2 linked regions of the Macaca fascicularis genome follow. Each later gene encodes a partner of the first gene's protein in a complex. Links are inferred from orthologs where the notes say so. Each region holds a gene or a part of one and is shown in the gene's direction. Other genes may lie near its edges.

Region 1 (6,841 bases):
TTTTGTGTTGCTCAGAGTACATTTGAGTAAGCTTGTACAAATGTTTATCAGCCCTTTGGACCAGCTTCATATTTTCACCAATATACATAGCCAGGACACCCTCCTGAAAAACCGCCGCAAACCGCAGCGGTGTGCCTCTCTTTCCTGCCTCCAGCTAATGTTTTTCCTTCCACTTGGGTCTCTACAGGCTTCTAGAATAATTTTTTCCACAAGAAAAGCTGGTGATATTCTAAACCCTTGAGTGGCCTCCTCACTCACACCTCAGAGGATAAACAGCATAAACTTTGTTTTTCCTGTCTTCTTCTTTATTTTTCTCAGGCCATTCTCCCTTACAAGTTTGTTTTGTTTTGTTTGTTGCATGTATGTGTCTGTGTGTGTGTGTGTGTGTCTGTGTCTGTGTTTTCGAGACAGAGTCTCGCTCTGTTGCCTAGGCTGAAGTGCAGTGGTGTGATCATGGCTCAACCTCCTGGACTGAAGCTATTCTCCCACGTCAGCCTCCTAAGTATCTGGGACTACAGGCACACAGAATTATGCCCAGCTAATTTTTTTAAAGTTGTTGTTTTCTTTTTTTTTTTGTTTTTTTTTTTTAGGGGCCAGGCTCACAACTGTAATCCCAGCACCTTGGGAGGCTGAGGCGGGCCCCTGTCTCTACTATCTCTACTAAAAATACAAAAATTAGCACGACATGGTGGCCGTAGTCTGTAATCCCAGCTATTCGGGAGGCTAAGGCAGGAGAATCTCTAGAACCCGGGAGGCAGAGGTTGCAGTGATCCAAGATTGTGCCACTGCACTCCAGACTGGGCGACAGAGTGAGACTGCATCCCCCCCCAAAAAAAATGTGTTTTAGAGATGGGGGTCTTGCTATGTGTTGCCCAGGCTGGTCGAACTCCGGGGCTCAAGTGATCCTTCTGCCTCAGTCTCCCAAAGTGCTGGGATTACAGGCGCGGGCCACAACACCCAACTAATTTTTGTATTTTTAGTAAAGACGGGTTTCGCCATGTTGCCCAGGCTGGTCTTGAACTCCTGACCTCAAGAGATCTGCCCGCCTCGGCCTCTCAAAGTGCTGGGATTACACCTGTAAGCCACTGCATCCGGCATTGTCAAACTTTTTTTGTTCATATCACCCTCCTTAGGAGAAAACCCGAATTATTCTAAAATTGAATTTACATCAACTAAATTAATTTCAATATAATTACATTTAATATCTCCCTAAAGGCAGAAACTAAATACTTAGGAATAAGATGGCTGATAGAGCTGGCTTTAGAAGACCACAATATCTAAGATTTTTTTCCTCCCTGAAAAGCAGTTTTTTCCCCTGGGGAGTCATCATGAATCACTCCAACTGAGGACGGTTGTGCTTAGAGCAAGCAGCTGAGCCATAAAGAAGTAAATGCACAAAATTATACCGGAAAGCCAAGAATGCTACAAAGAAAAGAAGAGGGAGTGGCTGGGGAGGGGGGCGACTTGGCATCTGAATCATTGAGATCGGGAAAGAAGATAAGGAACAGTTTAAGCAAAAGGATTGTTTTCCCTGAGCTTTGGTTTCTTTTTTCTTTTTTTTTCTGTTTTAGAGACAGGGGTTCTCACTATGCTGCCCAGGCTGGTCTCAAACTCCTGGCCTCAAGCGATCCCCACACCTCAGTCTCCCAAAGTGCGGGATTACAGGCATGCGCCACCGGACCCAGTCTGAGCCTCAGTTTCCTCAGCTGTAAAATGGAAGTAATATCCTCCTCACCGTGCTTCATATACAACAAGCACTCAATAAGTGAGCCTTGTTATGATTATTATTATTTATTTTAATTTTACTTCTTTTTCTCAGACAGAGTCTCACTCTGCAGCCCAGGCTAGACTGCAGTGGTGTGATTTCGGCTCACTGCAGCCTCCGCCTCGTGGGTTCAAGCGATTCTCCCGCCTCAGCCTCCCGAGTCCCTGGGATTATAGGCGCCCGCCACCACGCCTGGCTAATTTTGGTTTTTTGTGTGTGTGGGGTTTTTTTTGTTTTGTTTTTTTTTTTGAGACGGTGTCTCGCTCTGTCGCCAGGGTGGAGTGCAGTGGCGCAATCTCAGCTCACTGCAACCTCCACCTCCCGGGTTCAAGCGATTCTCCTGCCTCAGCCTCCAATCTGTAGCTAGGACTACAGACGCGCACTACCACGCCCAGCTAATTTTTGTATTTTTAGTAGTGACGGGGTTTCGCCACGTTGGCCAAGCTGGTCTCGAACTCCTTACCTCAGGTGATCCGCCCGCCTCGATCTCCCAAAGTGAGGGGATTACAGGCTTGAGCCACCGCGCCCCGCCTATTTTAATTTTAAAGGTTAATAGGACCAGCACTGAAATCAGCCTCTGCCCCGCCAGCCCTGCTCTGGTACCAGCAGCGTTCAGCAGCACACACAGCCGCGTGCGCCTCCACCTCCGTCCGCAGGTGTCGTTGTGGGTGCCGCGGCTGGGCCTCTCTAGCGGCGACGGCGACACCGGAAGTCTCGTTTTCCACCCACTTCCGCTCTCTGGCCAGGCTTGGGCTGCGTGGAGAATACTTTTTGCGATGCCTACTGGAGACTTTGAGTGAGTCCGGGATCGCGGAGGGGGGCATGGGAAGCGGTTGGGGTGCTCTGGGCAGTATTATGGGGCCTGGGTGTGCCGAGGCTGCGGGGACCGGGCCTTGCTGACTTAATCTTCGCTTCCCACACATTTGTTTCCGCAGTTCGAAGCCCAGTTGGGCTGACCAGGTGGAGGAGGAGGGGGAGGACGGTAAGTGTACCCGGTCGCGCGGGGTAATCGCGGCCAGGCCCGAGCCGGGCGACTGACGCCTGCTTCCATCTCGCAGTCTGGCACCGTGTCCCCCGTCACGACCAGCCCCTGCCCCGCGCCATCCTCCTTGGGACCTGCCTGTTGCCAACTCCAGGTGTTCCCCGGCGGGTCCCTGTTCCTCCCATGTTACTGCCGAAGTCCTCCCAGCTGTTGCCTTACTCCAGGGAGGAAGTTGTAATCTCCCGTCTCCTGTTTCTCTACTGGCGCCTGGTTGGCTTCATGGCCTGGCACCCACCTTCCTACGAGGGATCCCCCATCTTTGCCACTCCAAGTCCCCACAGGGCTATCCCAGTGCGCTGCCTGGTCAGCCCTCTGCCCTTGACCTGCCTTTCTCAGCTCTTGCTGTAGGCATCATCCCAAAGGCCCTTCCATCGCAGCTGGGGAGCTCCTGCCCTGGACCTGACCCCTCCTCCCCACGCTGCCTCTTGCAGACAAATGTGTCACCAGCGAGCTCCTCAAGGGGATCCCTCTGGCCACTGGCGACACCAGCCCAGAGCCAGAGCTACTGCCGGGAGGTGAGTGAGGACTGCCACTCCGTGTCCGGGCTGCCTCTCCCTCCAGCCCTGCCGCTCCTGATCCCCATGACCCAGGGCTCAGTCCTTCTGTTTTTCCCCTTCTCCCAGCTCCACTGCCACCTCCCAAGGAAGTCATCAACGGAAACATAAAGACAGTGACAGAGTACAAGATAGATGAGGATGGCAAGAAGTTCAAGGTGAGGGTAGGGGGGCCCTTAGACCAGAAGGCGGCGGGGTATGCTGAGGGGGTTGGTAAAGGAGATCCCCTAGTCCCAGAAGCCTGACCCTTCTCCCCTGCCATCCTCAGATTGTCCGCACCTTCAGGATTGAGACCCGGAAGGCTTCAAAGGCTGTTGCAAGGAGGAAGGTGAGGCGCTCCTTCCCCAGGGCTAACCCAGAGGAATTGGGAAACCGTGCTCCGGGACCTTTTTGTTAAGAGATGGGGCTTAACTCTTTTTTTTTTTTTTTTGAGACAGAGTGTCGCTCTGTCCCCCAGGCTGTAGTGCAGTGGCACGATCTCGACTCACTGCAACCTCCGCCTCCTGGGTTCAAGTGATTCTCCTGCCTCAGCCTCCTGAGTAGCTGGGATTACAGGCATGCGCCACCACGCCCAGCTGATTTTTGTACTTTTAGTAGAGACGGGGTTTTGCCATGTTGGCCAGGCTCGTCTCGAACTCCTGACCTCACGTTATCCACCTGCCTCGGCCTCCCAAAGTGTTGGGATTACAGCCGTGAGCCATCGCACCCAGCCGGGCTTAACTCTTTGTACCTATTTTGTTGAAGCTGAACTGAGGCCTGGAGTGCTTACACTCTCTTGGGACTCTGGAAAGTCCAGGGCATAGGAGTCGATGATAAATAGCGATTAAATAAATGATAAATATCTAATAAAAGTTTGATGATAGATATCAAATTATATTAATAAATGTCAAATAAATTCCATTATAAATATCGAGTGAAAGTTAGATTCTTTTAATTTTTTTAAAGACACAGGGTCCAGTTCTGTTGCCCAGGTTGGAGTGCAGTGGCACGATCATAGCTTACTGCAGCCTTGAACTCCCAGGCTCAAGCCAACCTGGGATTACAGGTGTGCACTGCCACACCCGGCTAATTTTAATTATTTGTAGAGATGGGGTTTCACTATGTTGCCCAGGCTGGTCTCCAGCTCCTGGGCTTAAGAGATCCTCCCACCTTTGCCTCTCAAAGTGCTGGGATTACAGGAGGGAGCCACCGGGCCCAGCCGGGGTTAGATTCTTGTTCCTCTTGGCCTGTCAGCCTGGAGGAACAGAGGCAGGAGGTGGTCGCAGCAGTTAGAGGCATTAGCAATAAATACACTTAGAACAGCTTGCTGTGCACTTAATTGTAACATGCCCCATGGCAAACGCCTTGCAGGGAGTGTCTCTCTGATTCAGTCTCCTTAGGAGCCCAGGGAGGCAGGAAGCTTTTGTGGTTCCCGTTTGATAAGGGAGGAAGGGAGGAAGCTGAGGCTCAGGTTGTCTAGCTCAAGGGCCCGGAGGTCTGGGTAGACCCCTGCACATCCCTGAGTATCACGCCCTGGTGGGAGCTGGTCCGCCAGCCTGCACAGGCCCCAGGCTGTACAGCTGTCACCTGGAGCTTGGGCCTGGCGTGTACTCAGGAAATGGGAACTGTCGCCAGGACTATTTGGGGAGTGGTTGAGGAGGATGAAAATGGGGTTCGAGGCCCAGGTACTCTGGGGATGGCTGCTGTAGGTCTAGGGTACCCCACTGTGGAACCCTGCCTGCCCCTGCCCTCAACTGTCCCCCATCCCCCCCTGAGCCCAGAACTGGAAGAAGTTCGGGAACTCGGAGTTTGACCCCCCGGGACCCAATGTGGCCACCACCACCGTCAGTGATGACGTCTCTATGACGTTCATCACCAGCAAAGAGGTGAGCAGGGCGTTCGGGGGGGCTGGCGTGCTGGGGTGGGGCACAGGGGGTGCCTCAGCCGCCTCTGAGCTCCCACAACCCGCCCCTGCCAGGACCTGAACTGCCAGGAGGAGGAGGACCCCATGAACAAACTCAAGGGCCAGAAGATCGTGTCTTGCCGCATCTGCAAGGGCGACCACTGGACCACCCGCTGCCCCTACAAGGACACGCTGGGTCCCATGCAGAAGGAGCTGGCCGAGCAGCTGGGCCTGTCTACCGGCGAGAAGGAGAAGCTGCCGGGAGGTGCGGGGCTGGGGATGCTGGCTGCCATGGCGGGGGCGGGGGGTCCTGCTGTCAGTGCGCGGGTTCTGTCCCCAGTGCTGCCTTTGTGCTGTCATCTCCCACACGACAGCGTGGCAGGGTTGATGGCGCCCGACTCTTCTCAGGGCGTCTGTGCCTTCCTAATTGGCTGTACCTCCTGTGGTTGGGAGACCGGCGTCTCTCGTGTATGTGTGACTTGGCAGCTGTGACTCTGCTGGTGGCCCTATGACTGTCCTGATGGGAGCTGCTGTCTGTCGGCCCTTGTGTGTACACACTGTGTGTGTAGTGTCTCCGTTGCATGCCTGTGGCTGTAACGTCTGAATCTTTTGGTGGGATTGCTGGTGGTGAGTGTGAGAGTGGAGACGTGCATTTGTCGCCTACCATGCGAGGGAAACCTGGGCACTGTTCCTGTCGTGTGTCCCATGCCTGCTGTCGCTGTGGATGTGAGGCTGCCATTCCCGTCGCCACCCCCCCAACCCACCCTCTCTGGGGTGGGGTCAGGGCTCCCTCTTCCTCCGCCATTGTCACCGGCCAGGAGCTCAAATGGTGTCAGCTTCCTAGGTGTCACCTTGGTGTCCTCGTGGCCAACTGGCTGCCTGTGGCTTGGCACACGGTGCCTGCGCTGGGTCAGCACTGAAGCCTGAGCCTCCTGGGGCGGCTGTGTCCCTGTTCCTGCGCCAGGGTGAGGTTGAACTCAGTTGACTGTCTTTTGGTCCCCAGAGCTGGAGCCGGTGCAGGCCACGCAGAACAAGACAGGGAAGTACGTGCCACCAAGCCTGCGCGACGGGGCCAGCCGCCGCGGGGAGTCCATGCAGCCCAACCGCAGAGGTGAGGGGCACCCTGATGCCAGGCTGGTGGGTGGGCATCTCCCGGCACCTCGTAATTATCCCCAAAGCATGCACACAAGGGCCGGGCAGGGGCCTCCCCCTCACAGCCACCTCCCCTCTCCCACACAGCCGACGACAACGCCACCATCCGTGTCACCAACTTGTCAGAGGACACACGTGAGACCGACCTGCAGGAGCTCTTCCGGCCTTTCGGCTCCATTTCCCGCATCTACCTGGCTAAGGACAAGACCACCGGCCAGTCCAAGGTGGGCAGGCAGGCGGGTGCGACGGGGCTGTGTGAGGGTCACCTGTCCTGGGGTCGCCTGTCCTAGTTTGTGCCCCTGACCCCACCCCGCCCCTGCACAGGGCTTCGCCTTCATCAGCTTCCACCGCCGTGAGGATGCCGCGCGCGCCATCGCCGGGGTGTCTGGCTTCGGCTACGACCACCTCATTCTCAATGTCGAGTGGGCCAAGTAAGACTCCACCCC
Region 2 (5,921 bases), on another chromosome or scaffold:
TAAGTCAGCCTTTGATTTTATTTGACATAGTTTTCAATGTATATATTGTTCTTGGCATTTGGTATCACTAGGTATCCCTACCATAGAGGTATTGGGTACCCTAAAGACACCCATGCCACTGTTGTGTTTGATGTTGATGTCACATATAGACATGAGTCTGCAACTGTGTTCCATTTCACAGGTACGCTACAGGCCATGACATCACAGAGCACTCTGTGCTAATCCATGAGTACTACAGCCGAGAGGCCCCCAACCCCATCCACCTCACTGTGGACACAAGTCTCCAGAACGGCCGCATGAGCATCAAAGCCTATGTCAGGTGACCACAGTCTTGGGCTACAAGGGCATAAAACCATGCCTAGATGCCATCCCTCCCCCACCCCAAGCAAGGTTCATTCCTTCCGTGTGTAACTTGCTGTGTTCCTCTCTCTCAACAGTTATTCAAACGGTTTCACTCTGAAACAGAATCTGTTCCTATAATTTGTACCGCTGATCCTAGTTGTACTCCAGTTTCTACTCATTGCCCTTTTAAGTATTTGAGCAAGCTATCAAGTCATCTTTTGTAGAACCTAATTATCCATAGTTCCTACAGCCAGTCATCACATGGTATTTGAGCAAGCTATCAAGTCGTCTTTTGTAGAACCTGACTCCATAGTTCCTACAGCCAGTCATCATGTGGTATTCTTGTCATGATCCTTCACCACATTCATTACTTTTCTGAATTACCCATTAGTTTGTCATCGTCTCTAGAACTCAGCGCAGTACTCAGGGTAGTACGTATTAAAGGATGACTGTCCTTATTTTGAACACATTAATTAACCCAGGATTGAGTGCAGTTTTAATGACAGTGACATTACAGTGAACACATTGAGCTTGCAGGTGGTTAAAATGCCAGTTAAGGGGGATGTTGGGAAAGGCCCTGGTGGTGTGCTGAGGAAGCAGCTGTGGGAGTTGGAAGCAGCTGTGGGAGTTGGAAAGTCAGAGGGAAGGCAGCTGTTAGTGCATCTGTTAGGCTGTTGATTTCGTGCTGGTTCTGTGTCTGACACTGACAAAGCCAGTTAACTCTTACACAGTAAGACAAAGATGGTGGATGCCAAGTCTTTATGAGCCAGTTGGCATACCACTAAGCACTAGCCATTGCCTGACTTCTTAGCCTTCCCAAGTATTTCAGACTCCTCAAGATCCAGTATATATATATATATATATATATGATCCAGCTGGATGGATGGGTGGGTGGGTGGATGGATGGATGGATGGATGGATGGATGGATGGATGGATGGATGGATGGATAGATAGATAGATAGATAGATAGATAGATAGATAGATAGATAGATAGATAGATAGATAGATACGATAGATAGAGAGTTGACATAGTAAAGTATAGATCCAGGTATATAATTGACATAGTAAAAACAATACCTTTAGTGAGATTACTTATAGCACCCAATCTGATTTGGTGAGCAGGAGTTGGTTTCCTTTTTCAATGCTGATGAAGGGGTTGGTCCCAGAAAAGACTTGTCTCTGTCTCTTTTCCATGGTGGGCAGCTATATAGACAGCCAACTCCATGGGTAATTGAGTCCTGTCCTCTCATCACTGACACTGCACCGTGTGTGAAGTAATCCTCTAAAGGGACCAGGCCAGGTGCAAAGGTTGCGTCCCCTCTTACAGATCAAAGGTTTGGTATGTGGGACAAGCTAAGGGGAGAAAGTAACTTTTGCTCCCATGAGACCTCGGGTTCATTTGGTCCCACCCTTCCTGTCTTAGAACCTTGGGAGCCATATTCCTGCTGTATCTGCATTCTCAGCCCAGAATAGACATGGAAACCCTCTCCCAAGGCCATCTGTTTACCTTGGCTTCTCCTTCCTCAGTACTTTAATGGGTGTCCCTGGGAGGACCATGGGAGTGATGTTCACACCTCTGACAGTGAAATACGCATACTATGACACTGAACGCATCGGAGGTGAGTAACCTTTCCATACTCTCTTGAGAGGTCATAGGCGTTTTCAGGGAAGGGGGCTGCTGTTCTGCAACAAGGATGGAGGCCTTGGGTGGTTTAAAAAGGGACTATTGATCTAAGGTTTGTGAAGACTAGAAGTTACAGTCATCTCTTGTATAAATGGGATTTAAGGAGTTATTTGAGAAACTGTTAAAGGTGGGAAATTATCAGCACCAGAGGCCACATGACCATTCATATGAGATCAAAACCGGTGATGAGCATACCAGGTAAAAGGAGTTGAGCTCTGTTAGGAGGAAGAAAAGCTGATAAGGGCACAGCAGGGAGTGTGATTGAGCAGACTGTCTAAGGGGAGGTGGGAAACAGAGTTAGCAGGACTTTAAGGCCATCTCTTTCCTGGTGGGATGACTGAATTCTCTCTCTTACTGCCCACCACTGCCACTGCCACCCAACTTCCACAGTTGACCTGATCATGAAGACCTGCTTTAGCCCCAACAGAGTGATTGGACTCTCAAGTGACTTGCAGCAAGTAGGAGGGGCATCAGCTCGCATCCAGGATGCCCTGAGCACAGTGTTGCAATATGCAGAGGATGTACTGGTGAGAGGGGAAAGAAAAAACAAAGGGGGAGGACATAGTTCTCCATCCTGGGATTACTGAGGCAGGTGCTGATGAAATGGTAGGGCGCAGTGGTTATAATTAACTGCCTCATTGAGTCTTTGTTTTGGTGCTCAGTCTGGAAAGGTGTCAGCTGACAATACTGTGGGCCGCTTCCTGATGAGCCTGGTTAACCAAGTACCCAAAATAGTTCCCGATGACTTCGAGACCATGCTCAACAGCAACATCAATGTGAGTGCCCTTCCTGAGCCCCTGCTTGCCTGGTTTCTTCCCCTACCTCAGCACATACACTCAAATGTGAAGAGTTGGGTGAGGTGGCCTGGAGTAGGATAGAGACAGGGCTTCACCTATAGCCCCATGGAAGTCCAGGTTGGGAGGAAGGAAGAGGTGTGGTATGCATGTTTGGAGACTTCTTCCTTCTCCCGTGATTACATTGTCTCATTTACTGCTGATGCTACTGTGACTTACTGTCTAAATTTGTGATAGAAAGAAACACTAAAATTCAGAGGTTAAGGAAAATGCAATTACTTGTTTTCCCCATCTGAGTTCACGGACCCCCTATATTCCATCCATGGGTTTCAGCTAAGGCACCCCTAGACTGTAAGTGTCTCAGTAGAGATAAGAAAGTCTTCTCAAGCATTTCTTTTCTGTCGTCTACCTTTTTGACTTTTATTCGGTCTCTCCCAGCTGTCATTTATCCACAACTGTCCTCATACCTAGTGCCCACCATAGAGCCAGCCAGTGCCAGCCTTTTTGCTCCCTTTCCACCCAACCCCCCACTCATTGTGTATTCTTTGTCTTCCAGGACCTGCTGATGGTGACCTACCTGGCCAACCTCACACAGTCACAGATTGCCCTCAATGAAAAACTTGTAAACCTGTGAATGGACCCCAAGCAGTACGCCTGCTGGTATAGGTCTTAAACCCAGGACTCAGAAGTGAAGGAGAAATGGGTTTTTTGTGGTCTTGAGTCACACTGAGACAGTCAACTGTGTGTGACTCTAATAAACATAGCCTACCTTTTGTAAATTAATTTCATCTTATGTGAGTTTATTGCCGGGTGGAAGGGAGGAAAATGTTTTAGATCACACAGAAACCAGGAAGTGAATATTGTAGGTAAAAAAGTTGGTTATGTGTTTGGCAGGTTACTGTTTTACCAAACTGTTCTTTTGGTTTTCAATATGGAAAGGTGTCCATTGGCAAAACTGTACCTTTTCTTGAGGATTCGTGTGATTTCTGTAGGAAATGAAAATAAGAATCCATGGAGAAAAAATAGCTGAGAAAATTGGATGCTTAATCTAAACTAAAAGAGTAGAGTGTGTAGTCACTATCTTAAAATACATTAATAGTAAGATGGAGCTGTCTGCCACTTTAGTTTGGGGAGGGACAATTAAGATCTGTGGGTTAAAGATTAAAGAGGTTTCCCCAAAACTTCAGAAAATTCTTAGGTGCTATCTGTAACTTGAGGGTACAGCCTTCAGTTATATTGAGGTCTGCCAGTGGCTCAATTTGAGCAAAGACTAGATGGCATTTCCCAGAGGCTTTGTAGGCTAGAGTACTTGCCTGTGTAACTTCAGACATCCGTTTCCTCTGGTATCCTGGAGTTCCACCTCACCACTGTGTGTCTTAGAAAGAAACAAGTCATTATTCAAGAACTCAGGAAATTACATATTGGAGTGAAAAGGTGGATGAAGGCAATGGGGAATCAAAAAGGCCTGGATCCTAGTTCTGAGGTATGTGTAGCCTTAGGAAAGATAAATTATTATAAAAGTCATAAGATATGGATCATAAACATACATAGTCCATTAGGGTATTATGAGGATTCCATGAATTAATAAATGTCAGGTTAATCACCACTTGTAGAGAATAGCGCCTGGTATGTAGTAAGCACAGATAAGTGGTAGATGCTATGATACCTAAAGCTGAATAGTTTGAAAGTAATAAGCAATATGAACCCCAGCCTGGAATTCAGTTCTGAGATATGTACCTTAGGAAATACAAGTTATGGGAGTCATAAAGTATGGATAGTAATGATAGATACTTTCTTACAGGTAGGGAAGTGTAAACAGATCTTACTGGCAAAATGGTAATGACAGGCCAAACTGTGAGGTTAAAAGTAGAGAGCATGGTGGGAAGAAGGTTAATCGAGTCAAAAAAGTTTTCTTACATTTTTGGGAGTAGCCAGTTAATATCAACTTAGTCTTTTTAAGTATGCATGATAAAATTCCAAGGTTAATTGCTAGAAGTATATATAATCCCTAAATGAATAGTGATGAGAAATGGTGGGATAATAGGCAAGAAACAAAATTTTAAATTTGAGAAATAAGCATAGAAAAGGTGGATAAAACAAGATGGCAAAACAAGTCCAAATACATCAGTAATTATAATAAATGTGTAAGTATTAAACTAGCCCGAGGAAAAATTGAATATTAAAGCAAACCCCAGTTGTATGTTGTTTACAGGAGACACATCTAAAACAAGGACATATAAGTTGTCCTCCAGCTGTAACAACATAGGTGAATGTTAATAGTGTTGAATGAAAAAAGCTGGTCTCAGAAGACATGCATTATGATACTCCAAAAGTTCAAAAACAAGTGAAACTTGTTTAGACATGCAGTTGGCTGTCTGTATATGTGGGTTCCACATCTATGGACTCAACTAGCTACAGGTTGAAAATACTGAGGGGGGAAATTGTGTCTGGACTAAACCTGTACAGACATTTTTCCTTGTCATTTTTCCCTAAACAATTCAAGTATTAGATAGTGTTTATACTGTATTGGGTATCTAGATGTATTAGGTAATCTAGAGATGACTTAAAAGTATATGAGAAGGTATGCACAGGTTATATCTAAATACTGCATATTAGGGACTTGAGCATCAGAGGATTTCTATATCCAAGGGAGGTTCTGGAACTAATCCTCCACAAATACTAAGAGTTGACTGCATATATATATATATACAGTCTATTCTCATTATCTATAGTAGTTATGTTTTATAAAGTCACCATGAACACTGAATTAGAGAGTACTGAACCATTATTCCCAAGGGAAATGCAGGACTGGGTTCCTATGATCCTCTGGTCACATTTTCATCAACCGATCAGTACATAAACTTGTTACATGTGTTTCTGTTTGAAGATACCTTAGTATATATGGTTGACTCATTAACATTGAACTCAGCCCACCACACTAACTTATTCCTGAGTGAAGCTTACCTCAGTTTCTCCAGGCGGCACATCACAATCTTCTTGCACTTAAGAACACTTGGCACTGTGCTTGGGGACCACTTGAAGCCGCAAAATCCACAGAAATGCAAAAGATATGGCACTAAATAGACTGAAAAGGATACTT

What was found.
Region 2: EIF3G (region 1) and EIF3F share a complex: the UniProt entries of both Homo sapiens proteins name them as parts of the eukaryotic translation initiation factor 3 (eIF-3) complex. The link is inferred for Macaca fascicularis from reciprocal best matches to the Homo sapiens genes EIF3G and EIF3F.

What each region holds. Positions count from the first base shown.
Region 1 is NC_088393.1:10,661,841-10,668,681, reverse strand, and holds the start of EIF3G (eukaryotic translation initiation factor 3 subunit G), read left to right. Parts: upstream 1-2,481; 5' UTR 2,482-2,541; coding exon 2,542-2,561; intron 2,562-2,700; coding exon 2,701-2,747; intron 2,748-3,238; coding exon 3,239-3,322; intron 3,323-3,430; coding exon 3,431-3,519; intron 3,520-3,629; coding exon 3,630-3,689; intron 3,690-5,121; coding exon 5,122-5,226; intron 5,227-5,318; coding exon 5,319-5,508; intron 5,509-6,246; coding exon 6,247-6,354; intron 6,355-6,482; coding exon 6,483-6,619; intron 6,620-6,719; coding exon 6,720-6,826; intron 6,827-6,841. UniProt on the Homo sapiens protein: RNA-binding component of the eukaryotic translation initiation factor 3 (eIF-3) complex, which is required for several steps in the initiation of protein synthesis.
Region 2 is NC_088388.1:57,827,020-57,832,940, reverse strand, and holds the end of EIF3F (eukaryotic translation initiation factor 3 subunit F), read left to right. Parts: intron 1-181; coding exon 182-319; intron 320-1,870; coding exon 1,871-1,962; intron 1,963-2,417; coding exon 2,418-2,554; intron 2,555-2,689; coding exon 2,690-2,803; intron 2,804-3,377; coding exon 3,378-3,455; 3' UTR 3,456-3,604; downstream 3,605-5,921. UniProt on the Homo sapiens protein: Component of the eukaryotic translation initiation factor 3 (eIF-3) complex, which is required for several steps in the initiation of protein synthesis.